Linked DNA regions of Xenopus tropicalis. The protein of the gene in region 1 interacts with the protein of each later gene in a biochemical or structural test. Links are inferred from orthologs where the notes say so. Each region holds a gene or a part of one and is shown in the gene's direction. Other genes may lie near its edges.

Region 1 (3,877 bases):
CACTGAATTCCTTTGTAAAATTATACATACAAAGAGTAAGCTGCCCTGTATTTTAATTTACTATTAAGAATAGATAAAGAAAAGAGATTTGTGATACACATTAGCACTTTTTAATCATTTATTTGTATGTCACTTACCCACTTGTAAGCTCTATGGGGAAGGGGAGTACTTCCCCTTTGTCTTTTAGCACATGACACTTAGGGGCAGATTTACTAAAACTCTTTTTTCATTTTTTTTTATTTCAAAATTTAAACAAACTCATTTTCACAAACGTCTGACATTTGCTAAAAAGTCTGAACTGAAAAAGTCAGTGCAGGAAAGAGTTGCAGAAAAGTCACGAAACTGCAACTTTTTTGAATTGTCACATCGCAACCTCTACTTTTTCGAATTGTCATATAAAAAACTAGCGTCAAAAATTAGAAAACCTCTAAAGTTTTGAAGCAAAGAAGGATCCAGGAAAGGGAAGGGACATCTGCAATTGACTTCTACATGATCTCGAAAAGGTTTATCTGGGGAATTTTCAAGAAAATCTTGAAAAAGGTGTTTTTTTTTTGCGACTTTTAGCACTAAAAAAATCCCACCATTATTAAATGGCCCCCTTAATCATTGTAACTCTGTTTATTTATATTTATTTATTGCAGTGTTTTTTCTCTTAGTTTGTATGTTTACTGTGTTTGTATAGCTTTGCTTAGACATTTATTTAAGATGCAGTCCAGTCCTATGTGATCAGTATATTTGCCATTGTTGTAGTTGTTAATGTGCATGCTGAATGCATGTAGTATGAAGACAGAAGTCAAGGAATCTACATGTAAGGTCAGACATGGGAAATTCATCTTGTGTCACCAGCTTTTCTTGTTGAACTTTTTTTTAAATTTTCTTCATTCTGATCAGATGCTATATTAGTAACCCGTGTAACAGAAGAACTGACACCTATAAATATTACTTCCTCATAGGAGGTTAAACATAAAATGCTTTTAGCACATGCATGTGGTGATGTAACAGCCTGGGAAATCTCATTGTATTGTTACCCAGGCAATTAAAAGGGCTGGTATAATAAGCAGTTTTGGTATACCACTTTCCTTTTTTTAGAAGCCCCCAATGCATCCAATCTGAAAATCGTGCGAATGGACAGGACTGCAGGCTGTGTGACAGGAGGGGAAGAAGTATACCTCCTGTGTGATAAAGTGCAGAAAGGTATGTCAATTATCTGGAACCAAAAAGAACTCATTGTATTTGACATTTTTTAATGACAAAGTAAAACTATGGCACTTCATGTCCAGCTTTGCCTCTATTATTGTGTACATGGCTATGAAGATGTTAGTAACTGTAACTTGCTGGCTATGCTTCCTGCTGAAATCGTTTCACAATAGTGTATATCCTGCTGTTTTGTATATAAGCTCGTTTTCAGTAAGCTAAGTATTGTGACATCCGAAACACATCTGCATTTGCAAAATTATAGTAAAATGTTTGAGGGAAAGTTGAGCTATTATCTCATGTTAAAAAAAAATTCAGCTGTGGAATATAGCTACTCCCAATCATACTCTAAAAATACTAAATTAGCTACAAATGATGATCTCAAAATAATATATAACTAAAGCATACAAAAATGCTTTAATAAGACAACACTGGCAGCCGTCCAGAAACCTCACTTATCATTTACATTACTTCTGCTGCTTCGTCAGAGGAAATTTTGAACTGGAGGAACTTCACGTTAAACATCAGAGATGACGTAATGCAAGCCGGACTGGCAGAGCATGTGTGGGTGGTTTCATTTTAGCTTGTCCCTTTTTACATGTTTTGTATGTCACTTGGGTTTTAGCACAGTTTAGTGAGTCTATTGTTTTATTATGTTTGTAAGTGTACTGGAAAATGTGCTTTAGATTGGTTTGATTCAGCTTATTACAGCTGTGCTTCCTCCTCTACCACAACCAAAGAATGAGAAGTTTTGTAGATACTAATCTGGGCCTGCATGGGGCAGAGTGTCATGGGGCTTTTCAAGCTCATGACCATGATAATCATGGTGTAAAAGTGGACTGCCTCTTTTGTAGCTATGTTTGGCAGGGGTCCAGGGTAAAAGCCTGGCCTAGGTCTGCATATAAGGAGGTGCTGCAGAAAACAGCTGTTGGTAGGAAGATTTTGGGATGTTAATGGTAACACTTTATATTAGTGCTTGCCCTGTGACCCTGTTGACAGGGTATGGAAGACTCATAGTTTAGGAAGCACTGGTATAGCAGAATGAAATGAGTACCGGTAATGGAAATTAGATAAGAAGAAATGGAAGTGAAATGTTTTTGCGTATTCTAAATGCAATTGCAGCTTAATGTAAATGATTACTAAGAGAATCAGATATGGATAAGATATGAGCAGTGCTATTATAATGCTATCTAAGTACAGGTATAGGATCCCTAATCCAGAAACCTGATATCTAGAAAACTCTAAAGCTGGCCATACACGCACCGATACTATCGTACGAAACCTCGTTTCGTACGATATTCAGTGCGTGTATGGCATGTCGGCGAGTCGACCGATATCGCAGGAAGCTGCTGATATCGGACGACTCGCCGATTGGCCAGGTTAGAAAATTTTGATCGGGCGCCATAGAAGGCGCCTGACCAAAATCTGCCGTCAGGGCTGAATCGGCAGAAGAAGGTAGAAATCCTATTGTTTCTACCTCCTTATCTGCTGTTTCGGCCCTGACTGCGACCAATGGTCGCACGAAACATCGTTAGATCGCCACGTGTATGGCCAGCTTAAAGGAAGGCCATCTTCCATACAGTCAATTATAAGCAAATAATAATTAAAATAATTAAAAATGCAATCTTTGTAATTAAAAAAGGGCCTAGTACATTATCCTAAATTAGTTTAAATTTATGCTGTTGGAAAAACTCCTGCTGTTTTTATTAATTAGATTTAAGTTACCTTAAAAACCCAGGTCTTAAGCATTCTACATTAGAGATCCCTTACCTGTATTGTTTTTCTAGTTTTACACATTTCAGTTCGATAATCACTGCATAACCTAAAACAATTGAATAATATTTTCTGTGGTCCCAGCAGCACAGGGAGGACCAGATTGAGATTCAAAATAGATCCTGGCATTTCAAATACACAGTGTCCCAAACACCCCCCCACAGGCCCCATAATTAGTGACAGTCTAAGGCATCTTACAGCAGCCCTTTGGCCATTGCCAGAATCCACAGATTGCTAGTCAGGGCCTGGCACAACACAGTAAACTATAACTTGGCCACTTGGCTGTATTCTATCATTTCACATGTTTATGTGAATAGAGACATTTTCTTTTCCTCGCTTACAGACGATATTCAAGTCCGCTTCTATGAAGAGGATGAAAATGGAGGCTTCTGGGAAGGATTTGGAGATTTCTCACCTACTGATGTTCATAGACAGGTATATGTTTTATCTGGAACAAAATTACCTTAACAAGGGTAGAAAATTATTTTTACTAAAGCAACTATAAAATATCAGATTGTATATATGATTACAATATGTTCATGATTCTGTGTACTGGCTGACATTGTGTAGTATAACCTAAATACTGTAATGGGATGAGCTCAGAGAAGCATCATGTTTACAGCATGTCTGTCTCTAGCAAAGAGGTGCCATAGCTGCATATCTTCCATGGGGAACAAGTCACTCTCCCATTAAATAAAGGCTTATATACATTAGCAGTCCTATTTTATTCTTTATCTCTCTCCCTCTCTCTTTAAGTTTGCTATTGTCTTCAAAACCCCAAAGTACAAGGATGTAAATATTACAAAGGCAGCGTCTGTGTTTGTTCAACTTCGGAGGAAGTCAGATTACGAAACTAGTGAACCCAAACCATTTCTTTACTACCCAGAAATAAAAGGTAAGAGTTGATACA
Region 2 (3,877 bases), on another chromosome or scaffold:
CATAAGATATGTACACAATATCAAAACAAAAATCAAACCTATACGTACCACCCAGCAATAAACAGCAAAAAAGGTGAAGGCAGATACTCTGGATGAGAGAACTGCCCCAAAGTTTCAAGAAAAGCACCAGAACCAACAGGATAGACCTGCATATATGTTTATACAACACCCTCTCTTAAGATATAAGGACCACAGACCATGTAAGGTGGTTTCTAATGTTCCTAAATGTTGAAGCAGGGGATTGCTTATTTTTTAATACACGTTTCAATGGGCTATGGGTGATTTATATATGATAACCTCACTAAGCACTACTTATAAGGATATATATCACAGGTTTTTATAAACATATATGTTATTGCTGATATATTGATGTACATGTGTATATATCCCCCCAGCTGTTGTCTGTACTGAACATGGTGTCTGGCAAGGTGCACACTTACCCGGTGTCAGAGAATGAAAACCTGCAGAATCTGAAGAGTCGCCTGGAGCAAGACACAGGGATTCCTGAGGAAGAGCAGGAACTATTGCAGGCATCAGGATTGGCCCTTAATCCTGCCCAGCCTCTAACCCAGTTTGTGGTAGACTGCACGGTAAGAGTCTTCTCATGCTCACCGCAAAATGACATTATGAAAGCACAAATATGGCAAAAAAAATGTTTTGTGTCATGTGACACAAGGCTAGTGTGGTTCAACTTAAAATGCAACTTTAAATTATATTTCTGTAAGCAGCCTTTCTTTGCAGGTCACAGTATCTGGTGGAACTGTTAATGAAAGGAAAACCATTGTCTTTTTGACTTCAGAGAGTGACCATATAGGCATATGTTTCACTGCTTAATTACAGCTCTTAAGTGCAATATACAGATTCAAATATTCATATTACTTTCAGTACAGCAAGTGTAGTAAAACCCTCAACTGTTCTAGTTCATTCCACCTGCAGTTGTTCTTGCATTCTAGATCTGACCTTGCCATATAAGATGCTGGCTGCTGGTGGGAGTTGTAACTGCTTGAGGGTCATAGGCCAATATCTTTGTTGTCTATAAACTGGAATTATTTTAATCAATAAGTGTCTTATTTGCTTTTGTCTACAGGTCAATGATGGGCGCCAGGGCGAGGGTGATCTGATATTTCTATTTGATAACCGGAAGACTGTATATGAGCCCCAGATATCACTGCCGGCACATCCCGAGAGTGTCACCGTTATATGTGAGTGCCACTGATATTTGGCTTGTAATGGCAAGGGATATACATGTATATGTATATTCCTCTTGCCTGAGGACTCAGACGTTTGCCTATGCCTTCAGGGTTTATACATCTGTCTAATCCTGAGGTTTGTGGTTTGTTGATGGTGATGTGACACTGTGGCACTTAATTCTATTCCAGTGCAGGATCCCAAGCGGCCCCTCACTTACACCCACCTTCGCCGCGTGTGGGGGCAGACCTGGCAGACAATACGAGCGATGAAAGAGGATTGTGCCCGTCTGCTTCATGGGCAGCGTACCTTTATGTGAGTATGAGAGCTCTGCGTGTGGGTGGGACAGACAGTATGTGTGGCAGATGTGTGTTTCTCCATGTATTATGCATAAGTGCTGAGGGCATATCTCTATGTTATGTAGGGTAAACCTGCTGCGATACAATACTGAACTTTCCAAAAAGAAGAACCTCATGACTTCTGAGTTTGAGCAGCTAAAGGCCAAACTGGATTTCTTCCGGAACAGTATCCAGATTGATCTAGAAAAATACAGTGAACAGATGGAGTTTGGAATCAGTAAGTTACTGGCTGGGCCCTCTGTCGACTTTTATTGCTTAGTAAAGAGAACTATAGTGATTTATTGACTTTGCTGTAACCTCTGACACACTGTTATTATGCACAGCTTTTTTTTTTTTTCTTTAGACAACCACTAAACAGCATTCATAGTCATCATAAATGGCTTTCTGTATTAACAGCAAGCAGTATGGGAGCTTCCAGTCTTCTGTATAAATACAGTTTTACACAGAGGAATGATCTGTGCATATCAAACTATGGCCTCTTAGTTTACAGCATTAAGATAAAATTAAAGCTCTGCTTAGGATACGGAAGGTACCCGTTCTGTTATATGCAGATTTAAAGGAGAACTAAACCCTAAAAATGAATATGTCTAGAAATGCCAGTTTTTATATATTGAACTTGTGAAATGTGAACAGGGCAAAATCTGCACCATGCAGTGTTACTATTGTGAAATAGCATATTCATAAAAGAGCAAATTTCTCTTTATTACTGTTGCTTTTAGCCATACAGTCTGCAGGATGAGACTTAGTAGGCCAGGGTCTAGCCCTTGTATTTTGAGCCTTTATATGGGTTCCTACTTCACACACATCACCTTATCATCAATGATATCTATTAAAGGAGCCGTTCACCTTTACATTACCTGTTAATGATATGAACAATGTTTCTTTCTCGCAGCTTCTGAAAAGCTCCTGTCAGCCTGGAGAGAGACGGAGCAAACAGTGGAACTGTGCGGCAGGGTAAGGAATGAGATGAAATGGGATAATGATACTCGAAAGCCCACTCCATAAATTAAACGTGCTATGTGAATATATGTACCCTAGGGTCTCGGGCTCCATTACTTAAAGGGGCACCGTGGGCAAAACCAGTGCACTGCTTTTTTCCCCCATAGCAACCATTTGCGGTTTGGGCTTGTGTATTGTAATTACAAATTTGGTCTAATTACAAATGCACCCAAATATCCGCAGTCTGCATTGTTTAAATGTATCCAGGTTGTTTGGTTATGGGCTGCTCTTTTCCCAAAATGCAGTATATCCCATTGCATTGATCTTTATGGGGTAAAGGAGGGCTTTAGCTTTGGAACCTAAAGAGAGTTCTTATTGAGCTTCCTGGAGATCAGTGTAGTAGTAAACCCCAGTCAGCTCTTAATGTCAGACCCCAACTTTTACCCCCTGCCAGATCATAAGGCAAGAGAGAAGCCCAGAAATCAATTGCTCATTGCTGCGAAACAAGGTTACCTACCTTTTCAACCACTGTGTGTTGGATTTTCCTTTGTTTTAAGTTCTTTACATTTTTGTTCTTTTGTAGGAGAGGGAAGTGCAGGCTCTTGTGGATAAAATGATGGCTTTACAAACAGACAGTGTAGATCTGCAGAGAAATCCATTAGGCAGGAAACACCGAGGGACACTGGATGACCTGTGAGTGAGGTGGAAACTGTTCAGCCATTGTACTTTCATGTCATCATATGAAGTGTTCTGTAAATTGTGTTGGGGGTTGGCTGTTCTCTATGACGGTCTAAATAAAACATTGTTTTCTACTTTTATTGCCAGAGAAGAACAGGCTAAAGATTTATATCGGCGGTTACGGGAGAGACCTAGAGGTAAGCAGTTATTGTTGCAAATATGGGTAAATAATCCCCTTACTAGTTGTATTTGGCTCTAGGGCCAAAGAGTCTGTATTACTAAATATGACGGGAATACGATGGGCTAGATAACCCTTCTTGCGGTTTAGCACCAGAAACCTGACTCTGTTAATTTATCATGGTATTTAGGCTACCTGCTAGTTACTCAGGAAGTGTAGTTTCAACATGCTCAACTCCATGTGACATGTAGTAAGGATATTGGACTTACCGAGAAGATCTGACTTGCTCTAAACGTAAACGTAAATTTATTTCTAGGAACCCAGCACCAATGTATTTTTTTTACCTGTAGATCAAAGGACAGCAGGAGACAGCAATGAAATGGTGCGCCTCCTAATTCAAGCCATCCAGAGCTTCGAGAAGAGAGTCATCCTTATATATGACCAACTCAGGTCTGTGGCAGCTCCCTTTTATCCTTCTCATCTCCATGATTTCATGCCGGCTTTACTGACTCCTTTCCCATCTGCCTGCAGTAAG
Region 3 (4,480 bases), on another chromosome or scaffold:
TGTCAGTATCTTAATATTCAACATAGAAAAATGGGGGGTGGATTTTTGTAGAGAATGTGCACACCACATCTGTCCATGCCCATACTTCATTAGCAGGGCACAACCACACGCATCTGGACACCCCTCAACAATTTTAAAGGCAGGCTATAAAGTCTATCAGTTACAGTGCTTCCTTGATTTACCACCTACTTTAAAATACAAGGTAAACTGGCACACAAAAGGGAACCAACTTACTTTTCACTAAATATACAAAGCTCATATTATTGACGTTTCAAGTTTTTATATAAGAATCAAGGCAAGTCTTTTGTCTCCCTTCTGTCTGGTGCCTTGAGTAGTCAAACAGGTCAAACACCCCAAAGGCTGTTCATTAGGTCAATTGCAGACTGGGTGTTTCCCAAAGGTGCCCCACCAATGACTTTAATAATAATCACCTGGATCCTGCTGGTACATTTATGGGTAAGGTCAGACTTCTCTGGTGGGACACCAGGAAAAAAACAATAGGGTCCCCACCAACCCAGATCCGCTCCAAGCCTGACACCCTGAGCATTCCCCCATGACCTTCCCCCTCAATCGAGGCTGCAACAGAGAAAACAAAGTATGTGCAGGGTGGGGGGGATTTGATACATACTTGGGTTCTGAACAAAGCCAAGAGTCAGAACTACAGAACCAAGACAGCACAGGGTTTTTGTAGACTTTGTAACACAAGAGCATACAACATAAGAATGTATGAGTATAGGTGTTACTAATGAGAGAACAGAGATAACTCTTCACAGCACAGAAAACAAATAACTCTTACAGCCAAACAGGTGGCTCTGTCTTCAAGGCCATGGTAGCAGTAACCAAGGCTAGCTAGAGAACAGAATCCATCTAATTCAGGGGGGTGCCTGTGTTGTAAATCTGCACACACAGAATGTATTTATTATCACTGCTTATGAGTGAGCCAATCAGTTCTTTTAAATGTCCAGTGCTGTATTTCTTACAGGTCCACCCTTGAGTGCACCTGTGGGGTTCAGGGTGTTCAATCCATGTCCTGCTGAGCTGGGAACTGCATGGGTGGCAAATCACCTGCTGCAAGGGGCACCAATGGGGCAGCCGAGATCTCAGCACAGCTACGCACAATTTCCCTTAATGGTCCCTTATGTAGGGATGTAGGGAGGCATGACTGAGCTCGGAGTAGGGATTGTAGTGCAGGGGGTAATATGGAGAAGTACAGGGTGCATAGTAGGTCATTTTGGAGGGTAGATTACTGGAAGAATAGTGCATATAATGAGGATGTAATTATCTCAAACACAATGTAAGCAAAAAAAAAAAAATCTTTGGCTTTTGCCAAACTGAGTAATAGGAAATGCTATGAAGTGTATGTGTCACAGGGCGAGGGAAACAAGCTAAAGGAGGAGTCAAAGGGAGCGGTTTATACAACCGGGTGACCCCCTCCTGGCTTCCTGGCTTGTCTCTGGGGGAGGGGACCTTCAGGGAACAGGGCAAAAAAGCACCTGGGTGTGTTATCTTACAGAGGGGAAGTCCCTGCATTAGAGCTGCTTCCTACTAACTGCCAGCCAGAGTGAGACTGCTGCTGCTGCTTAGAGACAGGGGGGACACCGGGGGAGTGAGAAGGGACGGGAAAGCCTGAGACAAGTGTGGGAAAAAATGAAGAGGAGGGGGTGTGAGTGCAAAAGCCAGCGCAATGTGCAAGGAAAGCAACTCAGCTACAAAGTTAACTACTAGCACATGGAGGGGGAGCTTCAGGGCTGCAGAATTTAAAGGGGGTCTCTAGCTAAGGGAAGGCTCACATTGGGCTTAGAGAGAAGTGGAGGCTCAGGCACTGGGGGCTGAAGGGAGAAACAGATCTGATAGGACATAGGGTGGCGGGGAGACACCTAAAAGAAAAAGGCATTTCAAAGAGATGGAGAATGTTGGGTTCCTAATGAGGGGAACAGGCTGACAGTGCAGGTGTCTGAGAGGCACAGGTATTAGTGTGGCAGGTACAGGGGCAGAACAGTTAAACAGGTACAATATATGGGCACATAGATATCTACAGAACCGCATATTAGAGCCCACAAAATGAAACTGCAGATATAGTCAAATAGGTATTAGGACAGAGAGACAGATATATACAGGTATCAGCAGAATCAGTACATTGAGACATAGCTGAGAGGGAGGGACAGACTGACAGAGGGGTATAGCTGGAGGGACAGACAAGCAGAGGGGTATAGCTGGAGGGACAGACAAGCAGAGGGGTATAGCTGCAGGGACAGACTAACAGAGAGGTATAGCTGGAGGGACAGACAAGCAAGAGGGGTATAGCTGGAGGGACAGACTAACAGAGAGGTATAGCTGGAGGGACAGACAAGCAAGAGGGGTATAGCTGGAGGGACAGACAAGCAAGAGGGGTATAGCTGGAGGGACAGACTAACAGAGAGGTATAGCTGGAGGGACAGACAAGCAAGAGGGGTATAGATGGAGGGACAGACTGACAGAGGGGTATAGCTGGAGGGACAGACTGACAGAGGGATATAGCTGGAGGGACAGACCAACAGAGGGGTATAGCTGGAGGGACAGACCAACAGAGAGGTATAGCTGCAGGGACAGACTGACAGAGGGGTATAGCTGGAGGGACAGACTGACAGAGGGGTATAGCTGGAGGGACAGACTGACAGAGGGGTATAGCTGGAGGGACAGACAAGCAGAGGGGTATAGCTGGAGGGACAGACTGACAGAGGGGTATAGCTGGAGGGACAGACTGACAGAGGGGTATAGCTGGAGGGACAGACAAGCAGAGGAGTATAGCTGGAGGGACAGACCAACAGAGTGGTATAGCTGGAGGGACCCACAGGTAGGTAGAAATAACCTACACATTGCAGTGAGCCTGACAAAAGGGTGGAAAGCAGTAAAGCAAAGGAAAGGGAGGAGGAGTGACTGGAGGCAAGAGGAGGGCAGCTAGGGGCAAGCACAGGAAGGACAGAAACAACTTGCCCTCTGCTTTCTGACTATTACATCTGCATGGGGTGTCAAGAACAGCCATTCTGACCAATGGGCACCCCTAAAAGCCCCTGCAATGGAGGCATGGAGGCCTCTCCTTTGGACCTTAGTACCCGCAGGAAAATGGATTTGGCCAGTGTGGGCGCCGCACACAGCCCCCCGGGACTTCGCTCTTGGACAGCGGCTGCTGAAAGTCTGAAAGCCGTGAAGCTGGAAGAAGTGGAGCTGCCGGCAGAGGGCCCCAGTGAGTCACTGGAGGGACTGCGCAAAGACCAAGCCTGTCTCCCCATCCGAAAGCGAAGGTACCAGCCGCCTCTGGAACATGAGGGGCACTTTGTCAAACGGACAGATAGGAGCTTAGAGTGGGCAAAGAGGTACCACCCTCCATGTATGGCCTTTGCACTGCCAGGCTATTATCAAGGTAACTCCCTTTTCTTAAAGGATGAGGTGAATTGGTGAATGAAGGAGGAACTATATAAGATACAATAAGATAAGAAGAAATAATAGATATAGGCTTGAGATTTATTTGATCAAAATACACATGTGATTTCTTTCATTTTCTCTGCCTCATGTAATGGCCCAAGCCTCTCCCCATTATTAATGCAGAATATCCCCATTATGCTTTATATCCCCAAACCCTGGGAACTGCCACTGGGGCTCATATACTAATACTGGGCAAGAAAACACAGCAAACAAAATAGGCATTTCCTTCAATTGTTTTATTTGTAGACGATAAAAAGCTAATAGCTGATTGGTTGCTTTGGCTCCTCAACCCTTTGCAATAGATTTCTCACATTTGAGGACAATCATCAAAATTGCATATGTTTAAAAAATACAAAACACCTTGAGTGGATCAAGTCTTTTAGGTCATGTGACATTAGGGGTTTGGATTTGTACAAGGTTCTTTGCTAAACTAAACCCTTTATCTGTGCGTCACTCTTTTAAAGAATGACCCAGGCTCTTGTATCGCTAAAGCAATAGAAGCCGAATGCTGCTTGGTATATCACTTCATTTGTTTGTGAGCGTCACAAAAGTCGCGAAGACTATTTTCATGCGGTATTTGATGGAACGAGTGCTAATCAACGCACCGCGTATAAATAGTTGCCGCGTGCGAAAAAACGCACGCCATATTAGCCATACATGCCAATACTTTCGGAAAATTATTGTACTGAAAATGCCCATTTCCCTTCAAACTGGAGGCTGCATCACTCTAGGGCCAACACAGACTTGAATAAATCCCACTGCAAAGTCCATATTGTGTTGCCAAAAGCTCATGAACTGTACTTTTCTATAATTACCGCCTGCCCCAAGTAGGTGTTAACTTTCGCACAGACTAATATTTAGCGCGTCTAAGTGTTTCTGAATCATGCGTTAGTATTCATTTCTGCGTGCAAATTAACGCATGCGGTAGCACAAAATTTAACGCATGCGATATGCAACTTAACGCACACGGTAATACTGTAGCGTATCATGCATAATTTTCGCGTCTATTTTAACGCAA
Region 4 (3,877 bases), on another chromosome or scaffold:
TCCTTTCTCTTTCTCGTTCAATTAAAGTTCCCTTTTACAATTAAAGGAACAGTAACACCAAAAAATGTATTTATTTTAAAGAAATTAAACTATAATGTACTGCTGCCCTGCACTGGTAAAAGTTTTGTGTTTGCTTCAGAAACATTACTAGAGTTTATATAAACCCTGGTGTGTAGCCATGGGGGCAGCCATTCAAAGGAAGAAAAGGCACAGGTTATATAGCAGCTAACAAATAAACCCTGTAGAATACAATGGTGTCTTATCTGTTATCTGCTATGTAACCTGTGCCTTTTCTTCCTTGAATGGCTGCCCCCATGGCTACACAGCAGCTTATTATATAAACTATAGTAGTGTTCCTGAAGCAAATACCCCAGTTTTACCAGTGCATGGCCACAGTACATTATATTTCCATTACTTTAAAACACTTTAATTTTTTGGTATTACTGTTCCTTTAAGACCATGGTTGCCTCCCTGGTTTATCACATATTTTGGTCTTGATCTTATGTCAGTGATGGTTCATCCTTGTGCATAGTTTTTTGCACTGTTTCTCCAATGTATATGCCTCCTGTACAGAGCTTAGTACATATAATCATGTACACCACATTGGAGGAAGCACAAAAATAATAATGGTGTAGACTTTTTGTGTATTTAGTATTGCACAGGATGTATTTGCAAGTTTCTCATTAGTTGCTGCTGCAGGAAAATGCTTAAGTTGTCCTTTAAGATGCAGAAAGGGTTTTGTGGAATTCTCTACCAGAGCTAATATGCTGGCAGATACATTCAGTAGTTTCAAAAAAGGGTTGGATGCCTTTTTAGAAAGTGATAATATACAAAGTTACTGAAATGTAAGTAAATTAAATTGTTTACTTGACATCAGGAAGAAATTGCCCCTGAGGCAAATTATAGAGGTTTTTTCATCTTCCTTTTGTTCATCTTGCAGTTAAGCAGGTTTCAGGTGGGCAAACGTGTTGAAGGGCTTGTCTTTTTTTCTCCCCTCAGCATAATTGTAGACAAGATAGAGACATGGTTGCAGCTTTTGTTAAACTGGGACCCTATACAACGGGGAGGAGGAATGGACTGCGGTCGTCCACAATGTTTTGTGCTAATGGACCAGATCCTCAACTTGAAGGTAAAAACAATATCAGAAGTTCTTTGAAAAATATGTGATTCATGCTTGTGTTGCTCATCAACACTTTTTACATTTGAGTGTGGCTCACAAGTAAAAAGGTTGGGGATCCTTGTGCTGTTGGATAATAACAAGAACGTAACTGTTGTTCTGTGACACTTGGAGGCCCACCTAGTTGAAACTGATATAAAAAAGGTTACCAAGGCCAATGGAGCAGCTCCTTTGTAGCATTAAATATGTTATTATTATAGTGTATATAACCCTATTTTTCCTTCCTGTTTCTTAGATAGTTCACATTTTGAATATGACATCTGCCAAGATTCATTCTTTTCACCTGCAACCTGAGGAGAGCCTACACACCCTGCAGTCTCGCATTGAGACAGAGACTGGCATTAGCACATGTAATCAAGAGTTACTTCTAGAGATGGGGGTATCCCTTGATCCAAGAAAACCAGCATCCCAATGTGTTATAGATGGAGTGGTAAGGTTTTTATGGAAGAATATCAGAATGACCAAATCAAACGCTAGGTTTTAAATTAAAGTTATAAATTAAACGCTTACCAGCCTGAGATCATATAATATGCAGCTCTGTCCATCAAGTGCCTGACTGCCAGTGCCACAGATTTTATGTTTTTTTTGTTTATTCTATGATCTGTGCTTCACATCAGAGCAAATGCATTACATCATATGCTTAAAATGTGAGGGAGGGGGGAAAAACAATTTAAGGCTTCTTCGGAAATGTTTCCAGGTTGGTTTTCTAAAGCCATCTATGTTTTTGATACAAATGATCAAAATAATGAAATATTTCTATTGGTCAGGACAGCAAGATTCCTTTAACCCTATCAGTACCAGTAGATTTTCACATTTTATTTGCACTTCTACGTCCCTCCACCCAGCTGCAAGAATGAACAAGAATGCTGCCAACCACAGATAGCGCTGTATTCATGGGGCCAAATCAAAAAACGGAGACCCTGAGCAAATATTCTTTATATAGGGCAGGTTGCAAAGTAAACAAAGTATGAGTGATTGTGTCAGTTTTTGCACCCTGCCTTGCACATAGTAAATAACCTTCATAGCACCCCCCCCCAATTAAAATATGTACATTTTTGGCTTTTTTTGTTTAGTCAAATAAAACACTGTGAAAGATATGAGTAGAGGCCACAAAATCATGTGAACAATCATGCCATTTCAGCTGTTGCAAAATAGCTTTAAAGCCACAGGTAAGGCCACAAAAAAGTTAATATTTCTCCCACGCGTCATATTATGCCAAGGTAAACATCCTGAATATGAATGTCAGGGGTCTTTGGACCAGTTTGATGACCAATATGCATAGAATTAAACAACTATTTCACATGTAGAGATGGCAAAAAGTAACATGTATATACAAATTTCAAGGCTTGTATTTTTAGCTATGCTAAACTTTGTGGTTTTTATGAAATTTCTAAAAATAACAATTAGGGAACAAACCCCATGGCTCTGGCCGGCCCTGATAAGGGAGGATCAGCCCATACCTGAAAAGCCAGGTGTTTGTGCACAGGGGGATTCTGGGTCCCACAAGTGATGGAAGGAGAGCCCAGAAATAATGTTTGCTAAGAGGGCCTAAAGAGGACTACTGCTATTTTTCTAGGGCTTTTTGCTTTTTTTTTCTTGGTTAATAAAATGTAAAATGTGTAAATGTGAAACATGCATTTTAAGAATTAGAGGAGAACCAAATAGTAGTTGTTGTACACTGGTAAGTAAATACAGTTCTTGCCCTAGCCTAGATGATTCAACTAATCATAAGTGTTTTATCTCAAACTATATAATCCCTTTTGTCTTTCCCTGCAGAAAGGATGGGATAGCTATATGGTTTATTTGTTTGATAAAAGCAAGACTGTTTATGAAGGACCATTTCAGTCAAGAAGCCTCTCGGAATGCCTTAATTACATAGGTAAGTACAGATATCGGCAGAGATGCTACATTTACACATAGACTGACATTCATGAAGGCCATCCACAGGAACAGAAATTTTGATTGAGTGTTTAGATACCGGGTAATCTTGTTACCTAAACAGTGTACAAGTTCCAGTGATGTGAAAAAATAAAAGGAATACAAATGTATATAACCCTTAAATGCCATGTTCTGTGGATATATGACACAGAATGTAGATTCTACGGCCTGCAGCACTTCCTGTTATCCCCCTGTTGCTCCCCAGCCCCGAGACATCAAGCTGTGGTGGGGAACAATTGGCCCCTGGGGTGTGATAAGGCTAGGGGCCTTAGATGACAGCAGACACATGGACACCACTTTACTGCTTTTGTCTTCATGGGGTAATTAACATTAGTGATTTTTATTATTTAACATCAATAAAAATGCTAATAAAATGTAGGCTAAATCATTAAGCCTTCTAATGTACAGAAGTGAAATTACACCATTCAGGCAGATGTAGAAAGATTAGGTTGCCCTGATGAAAAAAGCATATAGAGTTTTCCTAGGTAAAAACAAGCACTCTGCCTGGGTGTTTACTTTAGTAAAGGACATTATATTGCATTTCCTACCTGTGGTGGAAAGACAATCATTGCTAAAGTTATGTCTGATGTAGTTTAGCTCAAGAAATAAAAAACATTTTTCATGATTAAAACATTAGACAAAACATATCTGAGGCAAACCCTATTGATTGAAGTCATGTTGAACTCATGTTAGAAATAGTTTATAAATGTAAATTGGAAACTTACCTCTTTTTGAATTGAGATTTTCCATTTTACTTTGATA
Region 5 (3,877 bases), on another chromosome or scaffold:
CTTGGTGATGATCCCACCCAACCTCAAACGTAAGTACCTTTTTCTTTCCCGCCCCTCCTTATAATTTGTGTTATAAAATACTCTTAATACTATGCGAACGGCTTTTTATTCCACTGGTAAAATATCTATCAGTGGAGGAAGTAATTAATCATTTTGTACTCACTATATGTGATTCATGTGTCCAGGCACCATACTTTAGCCACATATATTACCCACTTGGCAATAAATTTGAAAGATTTTTGTATCTGAGGGAATATTTGCTATTTATGCCATTAATTTCAAAGGAAAGTTTTATACCAAATATAAGTCCCCCTTTTTTTGTAGTATACTTCCAGTATTGAGTACATTAGGTTTGTTGGAGCAACAAAAAGCTTTTCTGCATAAAGTAATATGTTATTACTTTTCACTTTGTAAGATTATAAATTCTCCAGTTGGCATGAGCATTGTACATTAGTTCATTGTTGGAATTGGTGATTAGGGATATTAGAGGCTTCTTAATCTTTCTTTTCTCCAACCAGTATTTCTTTTCTTTCATGCTGTCTTGCTTTACCCTCTTTATCATTTCCTCCCTTTAATCTTTACACCCCAGAAATACATGCATTTTGTTTCCTATCCCACTTTCCTTTTCTCTCCTCCTAAATCCCTGCTTTACCACTATAGCTGCTTTAACTTTGCTCTTTCTCTCACCCCTCCCCCTCTTTTTGAGTTTGCTTTTTTCACCTAAATCTTGTTCTCCTTTTGCTCATCTTCATTTCTCCTTTTTATTACTGGCCTTAATATTGCTTTTTTACAAGTGTTCACATGCCCCTCCCTGTTTTGTTCTTCTTTCACTTCGGATTTTTCTTCTTTTCCTGCGCCATTCCTCTTTCTTGTTTTTCTCCCTTGATTGATCTTTTGCTGCTGTCTCCAAATGCTGGGGATCTTAGTTTTTGTATGTTATTTATGGCGTTTCCCTTTTTTTTTTTTTTTTTTTTGTTATTGCTATTTAGAACCATCAGCAAAGATCAATTCTCCAAAAGGAAAAATGACACACTGGATCCAGAACAGTACGTGATGTTTCCTATTTGTCCCACCACAGATTTAGATGAGTGTTAAATTGGGATGTGGGGAAGGGAAACTTCCTAATTACTGAGTTATATCTTCTCCATTCTAGATACGTGGAGTGCTTGGAGTGCGGTAGAAAAATGCACCAGATCTGCGTGTTACATAATGAAACCATCTGGCCCACGGGGTAGGTGTCTTATTTCAGCATTAACTTATTTGATCTCTCTGATGAAGGACATTCTGATTCTGATTTATTTTGTTCTGTCCATAGCTTTGTATGTGAAGGCTGTCTAAAGAAAACAGGTCGAAATCGGAAAGAGAACAAATTTTCTGCCAAACGTAAGTACATCAGTTCATTGTTGGTGCTGAAGAAATTGTAATATCTTTGTTTAGTCTATTCTGGGAGATTAATTAATTTATTTAATCCAAGGTCTCCCAACTACAAGGCTTGGCTCTTTTCTGGAGAACAGAGTCAATGATTTTCTGAGAAGACAGAATAATCCTGAGGCTGGAGAGGTGATTATTCGGGTGGTCCATGCATCTGACAAAACAGTGGAAGTGAAACCTGGCATGAAAGCGAAGTAAGCAGTTTATTTTTTGGAATTGTCACAGTCTCTCTCACTTTGGTTTAAGGACATTCCTATGTGTACACTTAATTCTGCTAGTTGAATATAAAATCTGTTTTCAAAAGTAAATTTCCTTATAGTTCAGCATTTTGTATGTTGGTATATGTAACCCTTATGTATAGTATTGTTTTGCTATCTAAATATAATAAGGGGATGTTCTTCATTGCTGCTGAAGATACCTTGGAGACTTGTGTTAATTTGGCCTACAGCTTTCCTTTTTGTCATTATTGCAAGAAAAAAAAGTTTGTGTGAACTATTAATGTAAATAGTGCTAAGGGGAAAAAGAAACAGGGAAACCATGACATATCATCACCTTGTGTTACATCTAAAAAAGCAATGTTTAGCAAGAGGTAGAGCAGCAAAAACTGAGCTAGGTTAACTGAAACTTACTGGAACTAGAGGGAAGTCCTTGATCGTGGAGTACAAGGACAACAGTCCTTGTTTCTCTTTCAACTTGGAAGGGAAAATGATGCACCTGATTTCTCAAACTTAATGTGCAACCCACCACATAAAGAGAAGGTGGTAGTAGTTATCAGGGAGACTCAGCTGTCACCCCTGGTTTCATTGTTGACCAATTAATCCACGTGTCTTAAAAAAAAAATATTTTAAACTGTATGCAATTGGGCTATATCAGAGAATGTGTTGAAGGAAGGTTGTGCACTCCTTTTCAGTTGCTTATCTACCCAAATGTAGCTTACTACAACTTTGATATGAGAAAAAATATGGATAAAAATGTTCTATATTAAACTGATTTCAGCTTAAGTAAACCATTAGGATGGTATGGACTTTTATACTTTCTTAACTGGCTGTTAAAAAGACTTTTTGCAAGTGCAGTTTACATTTTGGATGAAAAAAGGAGAAATTACTAGAACATTGTAAGCTGAGTTTAAAACTTTATTGTAAATTATTCTTAATTATTGTTACACTCAGGAACTGAAAAAAGCAAATCAAATGTTATTCTTATAAACAGGTTTGTGGATACTGGAGAGATGGCAGAATCCTTCCCATACCGAACAAAAGCCTTATTTGCTTTTGAAGAGGTTGATGGAGTTGAACTGTGTTTTTTTGGAATGCACGTGCAAGAATATGGCTCTGACTGTCCCCAGCCCAATCAAAGGTAGGCCTTGTGTGTCTGTCTTCCTTCCTGTAACGTAAGTTGTGTATGGGTTCAGTTGGTAACTTTTCTTTTTGATTCTCTTTAGGCGGGTTTATATTTCCTATCTGGACAGTGTACATTTCTTTCGGCCAAAGAACCTTAGAACAGCTGTGTATCATGAAATTCTCATTGGCTATCTGGAGTATGTCAAGAGACTAGGGTAAGCATATATTTATAAAATGTATGTGATAGTGGGACATCATCCATTTGGTTGCTTCCAAAGCGAGGCACTCCTCTGCATCATCTCACTGGTCACCCTGCCATAATGGTTCTAAGATCACATTGCAGTGTGCATTCATGCACTGTTGAGGCAAGTCATTAAATGACTGTGGGTCATTCACAGCCCATATTTGCTAAAAAAGTGTGACTGCATACAAGTTGGGCACTGTGCTGACATGCCTGAATTCTCATATGAAACTAAAAGATGATGGCAGTCTTGCATTAAACAAATTTTAGATTGAAAAAATATTTTGACTGGACGGAATTGTCATTTGCAATGGTAAGCTGAAAGTCAAAGCAAATGTTTTTTTCTTAAAGACTGAAATCTGTGTGCCCGTTGCACAAAATAAGATTAAGCAGGATAATCTTCGCCTACTGAAACACCAGCTAATGATATAAAAAGCCTCGGAAATGTGAGACATTCAAGCATACAGGCCAACTTGTAAGACAAATTAGTCATTTATTCTGTGTGGCTGTGCATAGATACACTGGTTTGTTGGCTTAGTTGTAGTATGGGCATTTTTGAATTGCATTGCATTTGTGTTTTTGGATTTGCTTATTTGTCCAGTAAAACCAAAGCTTGAGAAGAGTTTGTGTGTTCTGGGAGATTTGTATCCTGTAAACCAGAGTGCTCATCCTCTGTAACAGTACTCGCAAAGCTTGTCTATGTTCCTAATGTTTTATAAAGGAACAGAAGGTTTGAGTTACTGTGAATTTTTATTTTCCTAACTCTTACCCACAACTTGCTTGGGCCATTTTCTGCATGGCTGGCCAATGCCATCTTTCCTTAGTTTCCCAGGTATCCCCTTTGGAAAAGTTATGAGTTTCACCT
Region 6 (3,877 bases), on another chromosome or scaffold:
ACTACTGTACTACCTGTACTAACCTATAGTACACAGTGATGACGGGGTGGTAGAAAGCAGGTCGTTTTTTCCCCCATGAGGAATGCATCGCTTGACATGCCGCTAAATTGTCACATAAATTACTGCATAAAAATCTGCAGTTTTTAGTTGTAAATTATGCCCACAGTATTGCTTTCCTTCAAACTTTTTGTGGGCTGTGCAGCCATACAAGTTATCATTACGAGATCTCTGTAATGAGAAACACAGACAGACTCGCTGCTGATGAGATGGTCAGCAGTTTATCTGCATAAGAAACAAGTCTGCTGATAAGAAGACTTTAAAAGAAAGGAGAATACTGAGAGATAAAAGCAAGGGTCAGACCCGCCATATGGCCACAGGCAAAATGTAATCTGCACCTTTACACACACCCAGTTTCAGAGAAGACCATGGCCTTTGTTTCTAAACAACTTGTGACTACAGCACCAGTTCAAAAGCACCTTTGTTTTTCTGGGTGTTGTCACATGACCACCCAACGTCACTCACTGGTGATGCAGCAGGTTGTGCCGCATGTTTCCTGCACAGCTACATTATTTATTCACACCGATTTTCTCTAAGACACAAACCTTACTGCCCTATATGCCTGCCAGAATTTCTTTTTTTTGTCCCAGAATCATTCAGTCCCTAAGATCTGTTCTATCATACAGCTCCCACCCAGAATCTAGAAAAACACTTTTCCACAGGTCTCTGGAGAAGGATACTTCTTTGCCTTTTTCTATACTTGTAGTTATTTCATTTCTCATAATATTAATATGGCAGTGGTTATCTTTTTTTTTTCAGGGAGCTTGTACATTCTTGCTGTTCTTGTCCTCTGGGTACTCTTGTTTCCTCTTAAACCCATAAGAATACTAGCACTCTAGTTGGCTCCTGATAAAATGATGAAAACAATGGCACTAAAGCTCTGCTAAATGTGTCAGCTCATTATACATGACAGTAATAAGCGTGAAAATGATGAAAACAACAGGCTGAGCATAAAACAGACTTTCCACTCTGTTTTGTAACATCAGGTCAAAGTGGTTTTAGTCTCCACCTGCTGGAATGTCACAAAAAAATTATTTTGATAGCAAAACAATTTCAAAATTACTTACAGATGCATGGGTATTATCATAGACAGAAATAACTCTCAGTATTTGGCATTCAGGATTTCAAAGGGAACTCCACCAAATTTGTTTTTTACATGATGAAATGAAATAAAAAGTCTAAACAACTTTTCAGTTTATATTTATTAAGAAATAACAGCTGTTTATAAAGCACCAACACATTCCACAGCACTGTACAATAAATGGGTGAATCAATTGAACATACAGATTTTATTCAAAAAGCAACAACTGATACCCATGACAAAAGGTAAAAAGGGCCCTGCCCTCTAAGGGCCATGACACACGGGGAGATTAGTCGCGCTGCGAAAAATCTCTGTTGTCGCGGGCGACTAATCTCCCCGCAATGCCATCCCACCGGCTGGAATGTAAATCGCCGGTGGGATGGCATACACGGTGCAGTGATTTGCTTAAGTTGCCTGAAGTTTTCTGTTAGTTGCCCACGATAGATCTCTGCTTTTGTGGGGCAACTAATCTTTCCGAAATGCCTTTCCACCAGCAACAAAGGGAATCGCTGGTAAATCTCAGTGACAAAGGCATGGAGCAAATTAATCTAAAATTGTAGTACAATCTTTTGTTTATAAATTATTTAAGCATTAAGCAGAGTACCTTCAACGTTGTTAACAGCAGCTTCCCATCTTCTGATCTTAAAAGTGTTGGTGACCCTGCACATTCTCAGTTTGGTCTGGGCTGCTGTGGAGAAACAAAACATTGGGATAGCCCTAAATTACCAAAACATAAGCAGAAATATAGGTTTCATCTATTGTAGAAAATATTGCTAAAGGGCTAAATACTAATTCTAATGCAGATTGCACTGGATATTATGCTGTTGTGTAATGTGAGTCTGAAATAATTACTGCCTTGTATCATGAAATGTATGTTGTGCGCTGGTCCCTATGCATAGATAACTGACAGCAGCCTAGAGCATATCCTGCAAGTCAGCATAAATAAAGAAGGGGGTTTACTGCAGGCACCTGTGGAGGTGCAGAATTTTTATGCTAAAGGGTTGTGGTAGCCTGAGGCTGGAATAGAAGTCAGAGCATAGGGTGTAGCATTTCTTGCCTTATTCTTTGGTGAGATTTAGTTCTACTTTAAAGTAATAAGAAAAATCTGGAGACAATGGAGTTGCTAGAAGGCATACAGAGTTTCTTTGTAAGCATGTAATACAAGCCATTATTATAATGGCAGTTCTGTTCCTAATTTCCACACCAATGAGGTTACAATTATTATCACTTGTTTATATAGTGCAGACATATATTATTCACATAACTCCACACTGCTGCAGTGTAGCTTATAGTGTAGGGTACCTGTCACATAAAATGATTATAGCAGAAGGAAAGATTCAATCACTGGGGGGTGCCAAATATTAGGTAATTACTTAATTATGTAATTACTTACCTGATACCCTGGGCCAGTGCATCTGTTAGGAAAAACTGCACCGGCCTGGGGTACTTGCGTGAGTGATTCTTTTCCTTCCTTCTTTTTTCAAAATCTCAGGGCCGACGCATGCACGGTAGAGTGAAAAAGCCATCTTTTTTATTAAAGTTTGTCTCTTTAGTCTACTGCACATGCGCGCCCGTGCAAAGACAGAAGAAGCAGGTAAAGGATAGCTCCTTGCAAGTACCTGGGTCCAGTACTGTTTTCTGCTAACAGGCACACTGGCCGAGGGTAGCAGGTAAGGATTACAATCACTGGGGGTACCTAACATTTGGTACCTTCTAGTGATTGAACCTTTCCTTCTCCGTTAAGCAGTTACTAATCTGTCATGAAATAGATATGAATTCAACAAAGTTGACAGAGGTTACGAGCACACAACCCCCAGACTTTCAGCAGGAGAGCAGGAATACAGCTTAAAACTGACAGGTTTGCCATAGATAGCCTTTAGAGCTAGTGAAATGTGTCTGTGGCTCACAGCATGACTGAGTTTAGAATAAATGATACTCACATATAAATATTAAATATATTAACCACTCTGCTAAAAACAAATAATAAAGATTTAGAATTCATTTTAGATTCAGAATTGGTTTCATTTTACATAAATACATTGTAGACTATTTTAGACTAGAATATGGCAATGAAAGGCACGTTTCTGATCTTGTTACAGTTTTGGACAGTAATAAGTCACTGAAACTTTTTTGTCCAACTAGCTTGGAGACCCTTCCATTTTTCCGGCTGTCATTGTTGAACACATTCCAAATGCAGATCTCCTGCACAGCTACTCAGGTCTGACCTGTGTGGATGAACCAAACAACATGATTACAGAAAACTCCTTGGATGTAGCAGAGGAACAGATTATTGATGATGATGATGACATTACTCTTACAGGTTTGTATAGGGGCTGCACACTTAAGCAAGTATTGATATACCTCAGATACTTTAAGGTGGCCATACACGCACCGATAATATCATACGACACCTCGTTTTTTCACTTTTCTAACATGTAGATTTTGCCGGAAGTGATGTGTGAGTCACAAAAACTGTGGCACTCACCCCTAACCAAAACCCACACCCACCGGAGCCCGTTCCTTACTTTTACCTCAACCCTAATCTGTCAGTCATGTCACAAAGGGAGACACAAGCATCCTCTAGTAAAATAAAAGTGGTGTCAGTTTCACTGTTCTGTATTTTAAATACAACAGTGTATGTTCATGTCCAAGACATTTTTTATTTTATTAGCATAAAAGTGCTGCTGTACTGGCTCTTTTGGTAGGGGACTCCTCCTCCTCCTTTTCAAATGAGAAAAA
Region 7 (4,635 bases), on another chromosome or scaffold:
AAGGAAAGTCTCCCATAGGGCTCAATGGCACTCTGCAGCTCCAACCCGGCCCAAGGAAAGTCTCCCATAGGGCTCAATGGCACTCTGCAGCTCCAACCCGGCCCAAGGAAAGTCTCCCATAGGGCTCAATGGCACTCTGCAGCTCCAACCCGGCCCAAGGAAAGTCTCCCATAGGGCTCAATGGCACTCTGCAGCTCCAACCCGGCCCAAGGAAAGTCTCCCATAGGGCTCAATGGCACTCTGCAGCTCCAACCCGGCCCAAGGAAAGTCTCCCATAGGGCTCAATGGCACTCTGCAGCTCCAACCCGGCCCAAGGAAAGTCTCCCATAGGGCTCAATGGCACTCTGCAGCTCCAACCCGGCCCAAGGAAAGTCTCCCATAGGGCTCAATGGCATCCTGCAGCTCCAACCTGGCCCAAGAAAAGTCACGATACTGAAGCTTGAATGAATCCGAAACTTTCGTACTCGGCGCAAAGGCTACGAAAAAGTCGCGACAATTTGCGCAAGTCGTAACGCTACAAAAAAGTTGCGACATTATGCGAAAAAGTCGTAACGGCTACGAAAAAGTTGCAACATTTTCCGAAAAAATGCAAAATACTGATCATTACGAAAAAAACGCATTTGGACGCTTTTCGGACGCTCGTGGATTAGTAAATGTGCCCCTAGTTCTACCCTGACTCTTGGGTCCCACTAAAGGTGGCCACTCACGTGGTCCTTGTGGCTCTCATTCCCATCATTGTAATCTTATCATTTGGCACGAGGGTCAAACGATCCGGTTACGCCGATGTTGCTCACCTTAGGTGGGTATTTCAAGGGAAATATCTGCTTTTTTGCCAGCATCAACAGAGTAGCAGATCCTATAGAGTATGGCCACCTTCACTGGGGCTTATGGCTCGCTAGCCCTCTGTCCTCATGCTAACTGAATAGCTCTGCCCTCACACTTTCAACCTTGACCTTCTACTAGGGCATAATCTCTTACCCTTCCCTACTTCTTAAATATATAATAATAATAACATAAATGTAGTTGCACTGCTTTTTCTGCCAGTCAAATGCCTTTGTGCACTGCCCTAATTGAACATTTTGGATAATTCCCAGGACTGAGATACACATTAGAACATTAGATTCACATTACAAATAAAGAACAGGGAGCAACTGTGCAGTATAATTGTATATTTGCCTAGTTTTGTTTACTTTGTTAACTGCACTATTTACTATGAGCAAGATACCAGAAGAGGGTTAAAAAGGGCGTTTCCCTCTAACACTAGGCTTCTGGCTGCTTCCACACATACATGAAAGCTGATCCGTCTATTGTTTACAAGCTATTTCAGATAAGGAAACCACTGATTACACGTTCTACACACATCAGTCGGAGCAGGCCACGAATGCCATTTCCGTATGTATTTACAGTGCTTATCAATGAATCATTGTGTATCGTTCTTACGACAAAAAGTGATTAAAACAAGTTTCCGAAAAACACGAGGAGCTGACCCTGTATGCAAATTTAATCGGAATATATAGTCTTAAAAAGATGTCAACTTCGATTTTTTTCTGACGTTTGTTCCTTGCGGGCCGCCGTAGCGTTCTTAGTTAAGGGAACCATGTGACTATGATGTCATCGGATGAGGAAGTACCTCTCTGAATAAGGGTGTACTGGGGGTGATGGCATCTTATAAAAAGGTAATATCATCGATAGAAAATTTGCTCTAGATAAGCCTATTTAGCTGTACTAATGCGATATTGATGGGTTTGTAGGGTTTAGGGGAGCGTTTGTGAGACGCGCTTATAAGTAAATATGTCGGGGCTTGGTGACTGTGCAAGCTGGGCTGTCGGGTATCACCGGCTGCATTGATTGCGTATTTGCTTTGTCCTCTTTGTACTCTTATTACTATTATACATTGATGTTCTGCCTGCGGATCTCAAGCCGATGTTAAACTACCACTTCCAATATCGCCGGCCGCGGAGCCCGCCTGGGGTTGCTGGGAGTGGTATGGCTGACGATCCGCGGTGCTATATAACAATACCCTCAGCGCTATGGAGCTTATATCGGGCTGTGATAGGAAACTATATTATCTTGGGGGAAGGATGTCCGATTCTAGGCCCTCAGCCCCTACTGAACTACAAATCCCGTCATTCCCGGGAGAGAATGGTGGGAATTGTAGTTAATCGGCACTGCAGTGGCGCAGTCTCAACACATAGGCATTGCAGCATATCCAATTGGATGTGGGGTCCTTTTTAAAATTGCACATTTATATTGCACTCACTACAGGCCAAGGGTGCTTGTGGGTGATACATGAAGCATTTGATGGTAATTATAATAGATATATATATATATATAATATCATTCCTTTCAGTGGAATGCTACTTGTCCACCACCAAATTTTAATTAGTATGGTAGTCACTTCACACCTGGCTCATCTCCTAGAACAGTTCCTAGCTTCCTGCCTTTTGGGGATGCTGGGAGTTGTGGTCCAACAAAAGGCAAAGGTTTGCCCTTTGCTCATAACAATTATATTTTATGAAACACTCCGCTTCAATCTCATGGAAAATAGGAACCCGTGATTTAAGCAGCAATAGAACAAGGCCAGTCCATTGGTGGCTTCAGTAGCTCATCCACTGATTTATTCACCTGTTCTCAAGTGATTATATCTGGAAAACCTGCACCGGTGGAGTCTTTAAATAACCCAAATATCTTGTTTATTTTAATACGCGTAAAAAGGTGTGTTTTAAGGAACTAGCCTTAAATATATATCGTCAGAATTTTAAGGTGACTGCAAAGGAATTTCTGTGGCCCAGGAAAGGTGGAGTCATTGCGGGTGCCAATATGTTAGTAATGGGATTTACTGGGTGCTCCTTTTTTGAAAAAATTGCACTGAGCAGGGTAAAAGAACTACCAGAGCACCCCAGTGCTATTCCAGGCTTCTAGTACTTGTTTATGCCCATGCCTGGCAATAAGATAAGATGGCGGTGCAGTGTTTTGTTTACATTTTGGTACATTTTTTTTTCTTAAAGTAGCACAGGCATGAGGAAAAAACTTGAGGGTTCGAAGCCTTTTTCAGCTGGATTCAGGCAAATCCAAATGTCTTGCCAAACTGAATTCGAACCCTTGAAATCACTTGACTTTAGGTCACTCGATTAAGGAAATCACAAATTCACTTGCGCTATATGTGCATGTTTTTCCCATTATCTTAATTTGGATATGCAATTTAGGGCTCAGATTTGGTTAGCGATTCACCTGAATCCCTCATGAAAGATTTGGGATTTGTCCAAATAAAAATAAAATGTGGATTCAGTGCATCTCTAAAATATGTAGTGATTGGATTCACTTGGGTAACTAGCAATTTGTGGATAGGTCAGGGCCTATTTTTAATTCTTATCCAGGCCTGGCTAACATACTAACTCTCAGTGAATCCACCTTTCCTTGTACTTTAAAACATGAATATAATTTAGCACATGAACATATGGAATTAAAAAAAAAAAACAAAAAAAAACCTGCTTCATGGAAAGACCCAACTAAGAGACTCAAGGGTTTTATATGGCCTTTTCTAGGGATTGTGTAGTCCATGGATGCCTGAAAACTTCATAGGATCTGCCCACACTCAGATGGATAGAATTGACCAATGTGCTGGGAAAATATAGCTTTGCTCCAAAGGCATGTACTAAGTGCTTTGTCAGTCCTCACTTAAGCCCAACAAAACAACCTGGTTAATGCCCCCCCCCCTCAGCCCAATACCTTTGTGGGTGGGAAAGCTCAAACTCACACTACTAGTTCCATTTGATTGTTCCTTCAATGCATTTTCAGATTAACTTTTTAATTATAAAGTGAAGTCTTTGTTTAAAGTGTAATCAATTGTTATAGCCTTTTACTACCTCTGGTATAATGATTTAACTGTGATCATTTTATTTTCTGGAATCAGCTTATATGAAACCATAACATTGAGACTTAATTAAGAAACAATTTATATAAACTCTAAACAGTAACTGGAAAAGGACTGAGATGGAAGGATTTTCATGTTCTCTTCAGCCACCAGTAAGAACTTTTATTTTTATCTTTTGATTTATTTATTTATTTATTTTTGTGAACAAAAACAATTTGATTTAGCTTTGTTTAGTTTTTTCTAATCATTCTTTTTATGGTTTAAATGTTTTGTTCTGTTTTCTTTAAAAATTTAAAAATAAGTCATTACAGGTATGGGAAATGTTATCCAGAATGCTTGGGACCTGAGTTTTTTCCTAAATGTGGAAGCTACTAAACTTTTTAAAAAAAAAAAAACCAAAAAACAAATTAGGATTGCTTTCCAAAGGGTTTGTTACCATCAAGTACAGGGTACTGACTTATTTCAGAGACTAGCGAATCAGTCAAATGTGAACAATTGTTTGAAAAAGGTGTTATGGCATATGGGATTGTCTGATTTTTGGAGCTTTCTGGAAAACCGATTTCTGCTTTATAGATCCCATACCTATATTTCCATGGATTGGATGCAAAAGTTTTATCCTAATACTTGGCAGTGCTTGCTATATTTTAGGGCTATGCCACACAGGTTGAATTCAAGCTTTAGGCACCTCCATGATTTCAAGCTCAGTATGAAGGAGGCAAAATGCTTGAATTTGATTTTTTTTTTTTATAGACTTTCATAGT

The links.
Region 2: of the proteins of nfkb1 (region 1) and ikbkb, one has a biochemical effect on the other in vitro, tested with the Homo sapiens proteins (4 studies listed by BioGRID and IntAct). The link is inferred for Xenopus tropicalis from reciprocal best matches to the Homo sapiens genes NFKB1 and IKBKB.
Region 3: the proteins of nfkb1 (region 1) and bcl3 form a complex in vitro, tested with the Homo sapiens proteins (2 studies listed by BioGRID). The link is inferred for Xenopus tropicalis from reciprocal best matches to the Homo sapiens genes NFKB1 and BCL3.
Region 4: of the proteins of nfkb1 (region 1) and chuk, one has a biochemical effect on the other in vitro, tested with the Homo sapiens proteins (3 studies listed by BioGRID and IntAct). The link is inferred for Xenopus tropicalis from reciprocal best matches to the Homo sapiens genes NFKB1 and CHUK.
Region 5: the proteins of nfkb1 (region 1) and ep300 form a complex in vitro, tested with the Homo sapiens proteins (2 studies listed by BioGRID, with this or other methods). The link is inferred for Xenopus tropicalis from reciprocal best matches to the Homo sapiens genes NFKB1 and EP300.
Region 6: the proteins of nfkb1 (region 1) and elf1 form a complex in vitro, tested with the Homo sapiens proteins (2 studies listed by BioGRID). The link is inferred for Xenopus tropicalis from reciprocal best matches to the Homo sapiens genes NFKB1 and ELF1.
Region 7: the proteins of nfkb1 (region 1) and btrc form a complex in vitro, tested with the Homo sapiens proteins (3 studies listed by BioGRID, with this or other methods). The link is inferred for Xenopus tropicalis from reciprocal best matches to the Homo sapiens genes NFKB1 and BTRC.

What each region holds. Positions count from the first base shown.
Region 1 is NC_030677.2:73,623,134-73,627,010, reverse strand, and holds part of nfkb1 (nuclear factor NF-kappa-B p105 subunit), read left to right. Parts: intron 1-1,089; coding exon 1,090-1,194; intron 1,195-3,310; coding exon 3,311-3,402; intron 3,403-3,723; coding exon 3,724-3,862; intron 3,863-3,877.
Region 2 is NC_030679.2:130,604,712-130,608,588, forward strand, and holds part of ikbkb (inhibitor of nuclear factor kappa-B kinase subunit beta), read left to right. Parts: intron 1-395; coding exon 396-590; intron 591-1,087; coding exon 1,088-1,202; intron 1,203-1,379; coding exon 1,380-1,503; intron 1,504-1,612; coding exon 1,613-1,764; intron 1,765-2,439; coding exon 2,440-2,501; intron 2,502-3,069; coding exon 3,070-3,179; intron 3,180-3,311; coding exon 3,312-3,361; intron 3,362-3,692; coding exon 3,693-3,792; intron 3,793-3,873; coding exon 3,874-3,877.
Region 3 is NC_030683.2:108,946,563-108,951,042, forward strand, and holds the start of bcl3 (B-cell lymphoma 3 protein), read left to right. Parts: upstream 1-1,550; 5' UTR 1,551-3,030; coding exon 3,031-3,400; intron 3,401-4,480. UniProt on the Homo sapiens protein: Contributes to the regulation of transcriptional activation of NF-kappa-B target genes. In the cytoplasm, inhibits the nuclear translocation of the NF-kappa-B p50 subunit.
Region 4 is NC_030683.2:110,575,709-110,579,585, reverse strand, and holds part of chuk (inhibitor of nuclear factor kappa-B kinase subunit alpha), read left to right. Parts: intron 1-999; coding exon 1,000-1,129; intron 1,130-1,412; coding exon 1,413-1,607; intron 1,608-2,953; coding exon 2,954-3,056; intron 3,057-3,877.
Region 5 is NC_030680.2:115,914,012-115,917,888, reverse strand, and holds part of ep300 (histone acetyltransferase p300), read left to right. Parts: coding exon 1-29; intron 30-989; coding exon 990-1,046; intron 1,047-1,153; coding exon 1,154-1,231; intron 1,232-1,315; coding exon 1,316-1,383; intron 1,384-1,474; coding exon 1,475-1,625; intron 1,626-2,640; coding exon 2,641-2,787; intron 2,788-2,872; coding exon 2,873-2,986; intron 2,987-3,877. UniProt on the Homo sapiens protein: Functions as a histone acetyltransferase and regulates transcription via chromatin remodeling. Acetylates all four core histones in nucleosomes. Histone acetylation gives an epigenetic tag for transcriptional activation.
Region 6 is NC_030678.2:132,249,564-132,253,440, reverse strand, and holds part of elf1 (ETS-related transcription factor Elf-1), read left to right. Parts: intron 1-3,280; coding exon 3,281-3,458; intron 3,459-3,877.
Region 7 is NC_030683.2:30,527,888-30,532,522, forward strand, and holds the start of btrc (F-box/WD repeat-containing protein 1A), read left to right. Parts: upstream 1-1,632; 5' UTR 1,633-1,658; coding exon of another isoform or gene 1,659-1,676; intron 1,677-3,913; 5' UTR 3,914-3,974; coding exon of another isoform or gene 3,975-3,993; coding exon 3,994-4,026; intron 4,027-4,635. UniProt on the Homo sapiens protein: Substrate recognition component of a SCF (SKP1-CUL1-F-box protein) E3 ubiquitin-protein ligase complex which mediates the ubiquitination and subsequent proteasomal degradation of target proteins. Recognizes and binds to phosphorylated target proteins.